2 linked regions of the Oryctolagus cuniculus genome follow. The protein of the gene in region 1 purifies or fractionates together with the protein of each later gene. This does not show direct contact. Links are inferred from orthologs where the notes say so. Each region holds a gene or a part of one and is shown on either strand. Other genes may lie near its edges. The genes, in order: SLC16A11 and EMB.

Region 1 (4,326 bases):
GCTTGGCTCCCTCGACTTCCCCTGAAGGATCCAGGAGTTCCCGCTGCACTGAGCCGCGAATCCACTGTAAAACTCCACGGCCAGGAGACTGGACACATTTTACATACGACCTCTGCTGCTGTGTCCCGTTTCTCCTCGGAAGACGCGTGTGTGGGAAACAAGGTCGGCCCTTTGAGAGGAGACGGAATAGGAGACCCAGATGAGCCCCACCACCTCACAAACAGCAAGGGGACCCGATGGAGTCACGGCCCAGCAGTGCTGGGCAGGGCTCCGGGAGCTCGGAACCCCGAACTCTGCTGTCGGGGCCACAGCTCCTCCCTCCTCTTCCCCGCTGTCCCTGTGACATGTCCAGGGGACACTAGGTCATCCCCTAAGGGAAAGGGGCATGGAGCAGGTGGCTCCTCCAAGCATCACTCCCGGCCCGCGACAGTGGAAACTGATGGCAGAGTCCCTGTTATGGCAAAGATTTGGACAGAAAGATGAGTGGACTGACCAGGCTGACAAACACCCTTCCCCACCCCCAGGGCCTACTGGGATCCTGTCCTCAGTCATCTTGGTTATTTAAGCCCAGTGGCCTCAGGGCCCCAGAATGGCTAACAGGTGGAGCTATCAGGAAAATGGGATACAATTTCTTTATTGGGGGCTGGGCTCAAACAGGAAACGGATCAGCAAGTGGTGTCCGGAGTGGCCTGCGGGCCTCCTGGGGAGAGTAGGGCTACCTGGAGCGCAGGGAGCAGCTCCCCCCTCTCAGGGGGAGGCGTGGCTGGAGGGGAGGCCCGGCGGCGGCAGGTGGGCAGCGCCCCGGGCAGCCCCGTGTAGATGACGCTGCCGGAGAGGATGAGAGAGCTGCACACCAGGAAGGAGGCGGTGAAGTCCCCTGTCTTGTCCCTTAGAAAACCTGAGGGAGGAATGAAGGAATTGAGGGGCGTCGCAGCCCAGGAACCCAGGGTGCTTAGGAGCAACTCCGCTGGCTCAGGCCCTTACCTGACAGGGGCGGGCCCAGGAGGCCCCCGAGGCTCATCAGCATCATCACCAGCCCCGTGGCCTGCACCACACCGCCGAGGCCCACCAGCCCCGGGAGCACGCCGAAAACCAGCGGGGCGTAAGCTCCGGCGCTCAGCCCGTAGGCACCGGCTGCGGCCAGCAGGGGGCGCCCCCAGCCCTCCTCGCTCTCCGTCGCGGGGACCAGACCCACCGCCAGCAACCCCAGTCCGGTCAGACCCCCGAACACAGCCAGCAGTCGTGGGAGGGGCACCCAGCCCTGGTCCGCTAGCCACCCGCAGACCAGCCGGGCGCCCGCATCCCCCACCGCAGCCACCGCCACCACCAGCGCAGCCCCGTACCCCCCGAGGCCCCGATCCAAAGCGTGCGGGGCCAAATGCACGTAGGGGACGAAGTACCCTCCCCCAATCAGGGCCGTGGCCAGAGCGAAGACTGCGAAGGCCCGACGTGTGAAGAGACCCAGGCCGAGGGCAGCCACGGGGCCGCGGGGTGGGCTCGGGGAGTCGCCAGGGAGGGCCAGGGGACGCAGCAGGGCGCCGCAGGGAGTGAGGTGGAGGGTGATGGCCCCCAGGAGGAGCAGGGCGCCCCTCCAGCCGAAAGTGTCCAGGAGGAGCTGCAAGGCGGGCGCCAGCAGCAGCGAGGAGACCCCATTGCCCGTGAGCGCCAGCCCCACCGCCAAGACTCGACGGCGCGAGAAGTAGCGCGAGAGGGTGCCCAGGGCAGGCGCGAACGCCAGGGCCCAGCCGGAGCCTGCGAGTGGACAGGGCGGGGTGAGCGCGGCGGCCCCATCCTGCTCCCCCAGCCCTCCGTCAGTCACCCCGTTCCCCTCCCTCACCGGCGAGGAGGCCCAGGCCGAGGTACAGGTGCAGCAGACTTCCCGCGAAAGCCGAGAAGACGAAACCCAGCGAAGTCAGGACGCCCCCAACCATCACCACCGGGCGCGACCCCCAGCGCGTGCTCAGGGCGCTGCCCACTGGGCCTGGAAAGGGGCGGGGTCACCGCAAGACACGCCCCCTGGGCCCCCAAACTGCAGCGCTTGTCCCGGCCAGTGTGCCCAACCCCCGGCCTGACAGCCCCTCCTCTGGGCCTCCAGCCCCACACTTTTCCAGAACTCGGTTGTGCCGGTCGCCTACTCATCGGGGAGTCTCCCGCCGTTACGCCCCCGCGCCCCCTCCCCCTCGGGGCCCCCCCTCACTGGCTGCCTGCTGCACGGCCAGGGCCAGGGCGCTGACCCACGCCGTGTCCTGGGCGCTTCGGTCAAAGTGTTCGGCGAGGGCAGGGAGGGCGAGGCCCAAAGAACGCAGGAGCCCGTAGGAGAGCCCGTTCACCAAGAAGGCCGCGGCCGCCACCACCCAGCCCCAGCCCCCGTCCGGGGGTCCGGCCGGCTTGGCGGTCATGGCCGTCTGCGGGGTGGAGAAACGCCAGTGAGTGGAGGCTGCCAGGGCGCGGGCATCCCCGGGGTCCAGCCGCTGGTCTTGAGCATGCCCGAGCAGGTGCGGGGCTCCAGAGCCCGACCTTGAGGTGGCAGAACTTCTGGGTCCGCGCGCGCGCGGCCCCGGGGGCCTGGACGGCAGGATCCTCCCCCCTACCCACGCCCTCTCCCCCTTACCCGACCTCTCCGGGCGGTGGGGGAAGGGGAGGGCTCGGTTTTCTCCTCGCTTCCCGGGCGGGCGGGGCCCCGGAGGGGAGAGAGCCGAGCGGGAGCCCAGCCTGGACGGGCTTGCTCGGTAAACAGAGATCACCGCAGGGGCCCGAGCCACCTGGGACGCTAGGGGTACGGGAGGGCGGGGGCGAGCCGAGACCGGCAGCCAATCCGCCGGGCTGCGGGTGAGGCCTGCCGCCGAGCCCCACGGGGATCGAATTATCCACACGCAGCCGGCAGCGCCAGGATAGGGAGCGGCGGGCACCGAGAGCCGCCCCGCCCCTCCCGCCGCCGCGCCCGGCCTGCGCCCACGCACCTGCCGGCAGCTGCGCGCGGAGCAGAGGTGCTCGCTCCAAGCCCGAGGCGGCCCTGGGCCTGCTGCCAACGCACGGAAATCGGAGCGATGGCCAAGGCCTGAGGGGATGAGTGGGTTTGTTCCGGGGCCCAAGAGCAGGTAAATCCTAGGAGCAGGTAGATCCCCGACGGCAAATCACAGAGCCGGGGTCAAGTCCCCAGGGCACGGGGAGAGGGACCCGCGGTGTGCCAGGCACTCTGTACACAGATGATAGTTTCATCCTCTCAGTAGCCCCAGGACGAAGATGGCACTTCCACTTGGCAGAGCACGGGAGCGTCCCAAATCGCTCAGCTCAAAAGTGGCAGGAGTGTTTAGGCGGAGGTCTCTCCGGCTGCGGGACCACACGGGGAGAAGAGACCTGGGCAGTGGAGGGCAGTCGCCTGGGGGGCGTTTGGTGCACACTCCCCTGCAAAAGGCCGAGCCTTTGCAAAGCCAAGAGTGTGTGACTCTCAAACAGGGGCTGGAAGAGACCTTAGGCTTAGGCTAGAATTGGAAAAAGCGAAGGAAAAAAATCAGAATTAAAACTCGGGTATTGACTTCTTCAAAAACTTGACAAGACGAATTTTTTTTAAAATAGATTCACGTGGGGTTTACTTCAGCCGTTCCTATCTGATGTGTTGCTTGCTTTCATTATTAAACACAACAAAATTCAGCCGCCTGCAGGTGGGCGCGTTACCAACAGAGGGCCACGCGATGGCAGTGTTTCCTAACTGTTGAGAAAGGCCCCGCCTGTGAGGAAAAGACCAACAGCTGTTTCAGACCTCCAAGCCTGGGAAAACAGCGTGGCCCCTGGGAGGAGGGGTGGCCCCCGAGGGGAGGGGGCGTGGCCTCTGCGGGGTTGGGGCCGCCAAATGCCTGTCCTATGTGTTTAAGGCCTTTTGCAATAAGAAAGTTGACCTGGGCTACCTGTGCCTTCCACCCCCTTCCCCTCCCTCTTGCACCCTCCCATCAGCTGTGAGCTTCGCACCTGCTGCGTGGATCCGTTTGCTCGCTTCTGGATTTTGGCTGTCCGCTTGCAAGTCTTCTGGAAGGGTTTGAGGTCCTGCCACGTACACCTTAGGAAAGTGGCCCCACCGGTTTCCCCAGGCTGAAGTCCTGTTTTGAAAGCTGCTCCAGGAGGTGGGGCCCGCGGGCCCTCAGACACCTGCTGGACAGGGGGCCGCTTCCTGGGGTGGCTGCCGCCCCGCTCTGCTGTGAGAGGAATCCCTCTGTCTGTGGTGAAGGTGAATGTGGTGAAGGTGAAATGCAGTCCAAGAGGAGCCAGGCGTCTGGGTCTGGAAGCTGTGCCGAGTGACGCTGAGCGCCATTGCAGGGTTCCCGTGAGCCG
Region 2 (4,396 bases), on another chromosome or scaffold:
GAGTAAGTTTTCAGACAGACTGATTTGACAGGAAAGACAATTTTTTCCTTAAATGAAGTCAGCTCATTTGAAGAAGGGTGAATTTGAGCTTGAGGATTTTGTAGCACTAATTGGGAAGAGTCAGTCAGGCTCAGTTTGTTCTGTGAAGCACTTATTGTTAAAACTCCCCAAAGGCATAAGGACATGTTGGTAATTAGTTCTGAAATTATATGCAGGGTACCAAGACAAAAGCCTGATTGGATGAGCAAGCTCAGTGAAGGTGTTCAGAGGGTCACAGAGTGTAACTGTGGGTCCTTCATGGCCTCTCATGAGGATCTGTTCAGGAAAGTTAAGTGATCATAAGCATAATTTCCTGGCAAGTAGTGGCCTTTCACAGACTGGTAGTCCTCAGATCAATAGTTCTCTGGGTTAATTATCTTGCATGAGCTCCTTGCTGTAAACGCAGTCTATTTTGAGCACAGTGCCTGGCATTTGGTAGTACTTAATATTGCTGATTAAATAGTATCCTTCATATTCTTTAATGCCGATTTGAATAATCTATCCTCTCTTTCAAAGTTTTGCCCCAAGCACATTTTACTAATATTTACCAACTGAAAATGAACCACCTCTGTGGGGTAGGTTTAGCTCTCTTGTTCTGTAGCTTAATCTTCAAAATTCATAATATCTGTTAATGTGTTCTTACATCCCGATGAATCATCAAATCTTACTGCTCTTTGATGTTATAATGTGGAGTTCTCCTTTTTATCCCCAATGCAACAATGATTTTTAGTTTCTTTTCTTTTCTTCTACTTTTTTTCTTTTAACGTGGTCGGGAGCACTGAGCAATCATCATTGCCTTGCTGTGTACGGCACAGCATTACCTAACACCCGTTCTGTAGGCTAAGGCCAGCCTCTGGGTGCTGTTTACAAAGTATCTCCTTACTGTAGGTTTTGTTTCCTGAGCTCTAGGTGGTTCTCAGAAACTGTTAGGCCAAGCAAACAATAGGAAAATAAGGACAGATACACTGTGGGGCCTTGGGCTTCTGGAACTTTAATCTGGACAGAACCAGTTAAGCCTTCAGGGACTGGAGGGGAGGGTGTGTGTGATTGGCAGGCAGAGCGCAGAGCCAGACTGTAGGGCACCTGGAGCGCGCCCCGCACGAGCCAAACAATGAACCTCTTTCAAAAGGAAGCTTGATGATGTCCGGGGGGGGAAGAAAAGTGTCCTCTCCCCTCTCCTTCGGGCACTGGCCTCTGACGAACGCCAGGGAGAGTCTCCGAGGTGGGGGTTCAACCTCTCTCAGGTCAAGCTCAGCTGTCGCACCCCAAGCTCCCTCTCCGACCTGCGAGAGGCCCCAGAGGATGCGCCAGCACCGCGGCCCTACACACCCGGGCGCGCCCGCAGCCGGCTTGCGGCTGCATAATTGATGGAGGGCCGGGCGCAGTGCTGGGCCGGCCCCGGGCGCGGTGAGAGCATCTGGGGGGGGGGGTGGGGGGAGGGCAGGGCGGCTGGGCCCCTCCCACTCCGCCTTTTCTCGCGTGTCCTGCCCTCGGGACTGGCAGTGGGCCCTGGACTACCGGCGAGTGTGCGCCAGGGCTCCGGACACCGTCGGCGACTCACCGCGGTAGCAGCCTCGACGAGAACGGCTGCGGACCCGCCAGCGCCATGCGCGCCCTCACTGGCCTTCAGTGTCCCCGGGCGCCCCGGCTGCACTTCCTCTTGTGCCTCCTCCTTGCAGCGCGCCCGAGCTTGGCGGACAGCCAGCCTACAGGTGTGATGGGAACAGGGGCCGGCTGGGGAGCGTGCAGGGAGTGCAGGGAGGAGCGCGCGAGGCTTGGGTCCCCGTGGGCATCCCGGGCAGGGGCGATGGGGAGAGGCGCGGGGATGCAGGCGCGGGCGGGTGCTGGGCGGTGCCGGCGGCCTCCCATTGGCTGCACTCGGGCTACCTCTGCTGAGCGAGGGAACTGGGCGGCTCTGGCTCCCCGGGGCTCTGTGGGGCGACTCCAAAGGACCACGTCTGGCAGTTCGGGGGTGTTGGTGTTAGGCAGGGCTGTTTTTAGCCTAGGAAGAGGGCGACGGGTGTGTGGGTGGGTGCGGGGCTAGGGTGTCTGGATTTCTAAGGGTCACATTCTCCAAGGCCAGCTCCCTTCACTTAAATCGAGGGTAAGGCTCAAATGTCACTGCTTTTCCTCCTCTTCCAGGCAGGTGACTTGGCCTTGAGGCTGGGTTTTAGAGCTGGGTGGAAGAAACGTCATAACGAATCAGACAAAGCCCCCACACCTTACAGTAGGATCATGTGTCTGTCTAATTTTCACATTATGGTCATTGGGGAAAAAAAACATTTTATTTATTTTTATTTTTTGGTAGTGATGGTTTTGGGCTTTGTTATTTAAGACACTGAAGCAACAGAGAGATTTATGTGCAAAACCTTACCAAAGCCAACAGCAAATTTGCCACTTCAGCATCACCTGTTTATACTTTTTATGTCGAACTGTTCCAAAGCTTTAGCTTACTTTCTAATGCAAGTGTCTGTGTTAATAAATCTGTTAGCATTAGCAGTCAGTGAGGATAACACCACCGGCATCCTTCAAACTGGTAAAAATCAACCACCAGTTACCAAAATCAGGACATTATTGTAAACAAAGGTTTCCCCCTTTTACAGGAATATATTGTTGTGAGGTGATACCACAGAGATTTTTGGTAACATACCATAAAGATGGAAAGATAATCAAATGATAAACTTTTCACTCTTTTAACAGTGTCTTTTCAAAGGTAAACCGTTTGGGCTGTTTCACACCCCTTATCCCTTTTCAGTTACACCATTTGTAGAGAATCTCCAGGGTATTTTCCCTCTCTGAGTAGCTCTCATGATTTGTTTGCTTCACAATCTTGAAGTTCTGAGAAGCAGTGCATTCTGGGTTGATCCTGGAATCGTGATTCTCCTTGGCTGTGTCCGAATTACCAGAGAGATTTAACAACGCAAATGCGTGGGTGCTGTTGGCAGAAGCAGATTCACTTACCCTGGAATTCAGCCCAGATATTAGGAAGTTCAGGAACTGCTTCATATGATTCTAACATAAGCAGAGTGGAACCCACTCCCTTAAAAGATAGGACAAGAGATTGTACTATTAGGTAGATAGCGATTCTGTTGGCATCAGATTTAAGTTAATATCCAGAGCAGATAGACCTCTTTAGAGAAAATAAGTAGTATTATTAATAAGTATTAATAATTAGTATTAGTAATAAGTATTAATTAGTAATAAGTATTAATTAGTAATAAGTATTAGTATTAATAATAAGTATTATTAATAACTAATAATAGTAGGTGGAATAAATGAAGATATCGATAACTAGAGTGAATGAAAGGGGGAAATATGTGTAAGTCTTGTGCTTGTAGCTCCTCTTAGTTAAAATTATGAAACAATGTGCCGTTTAAAAGGCATGAGTTAGTATCTAATTTTGAGCTAGAATTACAAATTGTCAGGCAACCTCAGCTTGTTCTCTTGACTCTGCACTAATCTCCATGAGATTCAGTTTCCTGTTTGATGAAGAATCTTCTTGAGGCTTGCTGGACATTTTCTATGTAGATGCTTTGAACTACTTGGAGACACGTGTTGTGTTAACCTCAGGCTGTGGAGCAAATTACAATAATAAAAATGGTTATCAGATTTATTATGTAATTATGTAACATATTTACTATGTTTGTTATATAACAAATGTATGCAGGGACTGCACTATTTATTTCATAGCTCTTTGAGTTAGATTTCATTGTTCCTGGCTTTCAAATGAGGAAATTGGGGTTTAGGTTAAGTAATTGCCCAAGTACACATACTTGGTTAAGCAGCAGAGCAGGAAATTTAGCAATAGCTAATCTGATTCCAAAACCTGCTTTCCTAAACACAAAGCTTAAATACAATATACAATAGTGGAAAGTGACTGGTTATGCCTGTGAACGTTTGGAACTTTGACAGTGCAACGTATGAGTTGAAATGTCTGATTTGAGCTGGAGGACATACTGACATCTGAGGCCTGGAATGAAGTTAGGCACAGGGTCGTGGCTTCACTCTTTTAGGGCTTTGAAATTAAGTATGACATATAAAATATCTCTGTGAAGGAGAAATATTACGTGTCTGTTTGTATTTAAACACCATCATTATTATTATTCCAGAGAACCAATTGGGGGAGCAGATTATGTGTATGTTTTGAAAAATGTTTGCAGTGAAGTTACTTGAAATGATCTCATTTTAACTTGGTTATCTATCTCCAAATGGGGTCATCTTATGAAGTTCTGGGGCAGGGGTGGGGAACCTTTTTTCTGCCAAGGACCATTTGGGTATTTATCACATCATTCATGGACCACACAAAATTATCAACTTAAAAATTAGCCGGCTATAGATTTGTTGAATTTTGAATGCC

The links.
Region 2: the proteins of SLC16A11 (region 1) and EMB purify together in Homo sapiens (co-immunoprecipitation; 3 studies listed by BioGRID and IntAct, counting the BioPlex papers as one, with this or other methods). This does not show direct contact. The link is inferred for Oryctolagus cuniculus from reciprocal best matches to the Homo sapiens genes SLC16A11 and EMB.

What each region holds. Positions count from the first base shown.
Region 1 is NC_091448.1:51,740,367-51,744,692, forward strand, and holds SLC16A11 (monocarboxylate transporter 11), read right to left. Parts: upstream 2,939-4,326; 5' UTR 2,617-2,938; exon of another isoform or gene 2,612-2,616; intron 2,406-2,611; 5' UTR 2,400-2,405; coding exon 2,198-2,399; intron 1,982-2,197; coding exon 1,838-1,981; intron 1,753-1,837; coding exon 985-1,752; intron 899-984; coding exon 666-898; 3' UTR 616-665; downstream 1-615. UniProt on the Homo sapiens protein: Proton-linked monocarboxylate transporter. It catalyzes the transport of pyruvate across the plasma membrane.
Region 2 is NC_091445.1:71,364,843-71,369,238, reverse strand, and holds the start of EMB (embigin), read left to right. Parts: upstream 1-1,513; 5' UTR 1,514-1,645; coding exon 1,646-1,751; intron 1,752-4,396. UniProt on the Homo sapiens protein: Plays a role in the outgrowth of motoneurons and in the formation of neuromuscular junctions.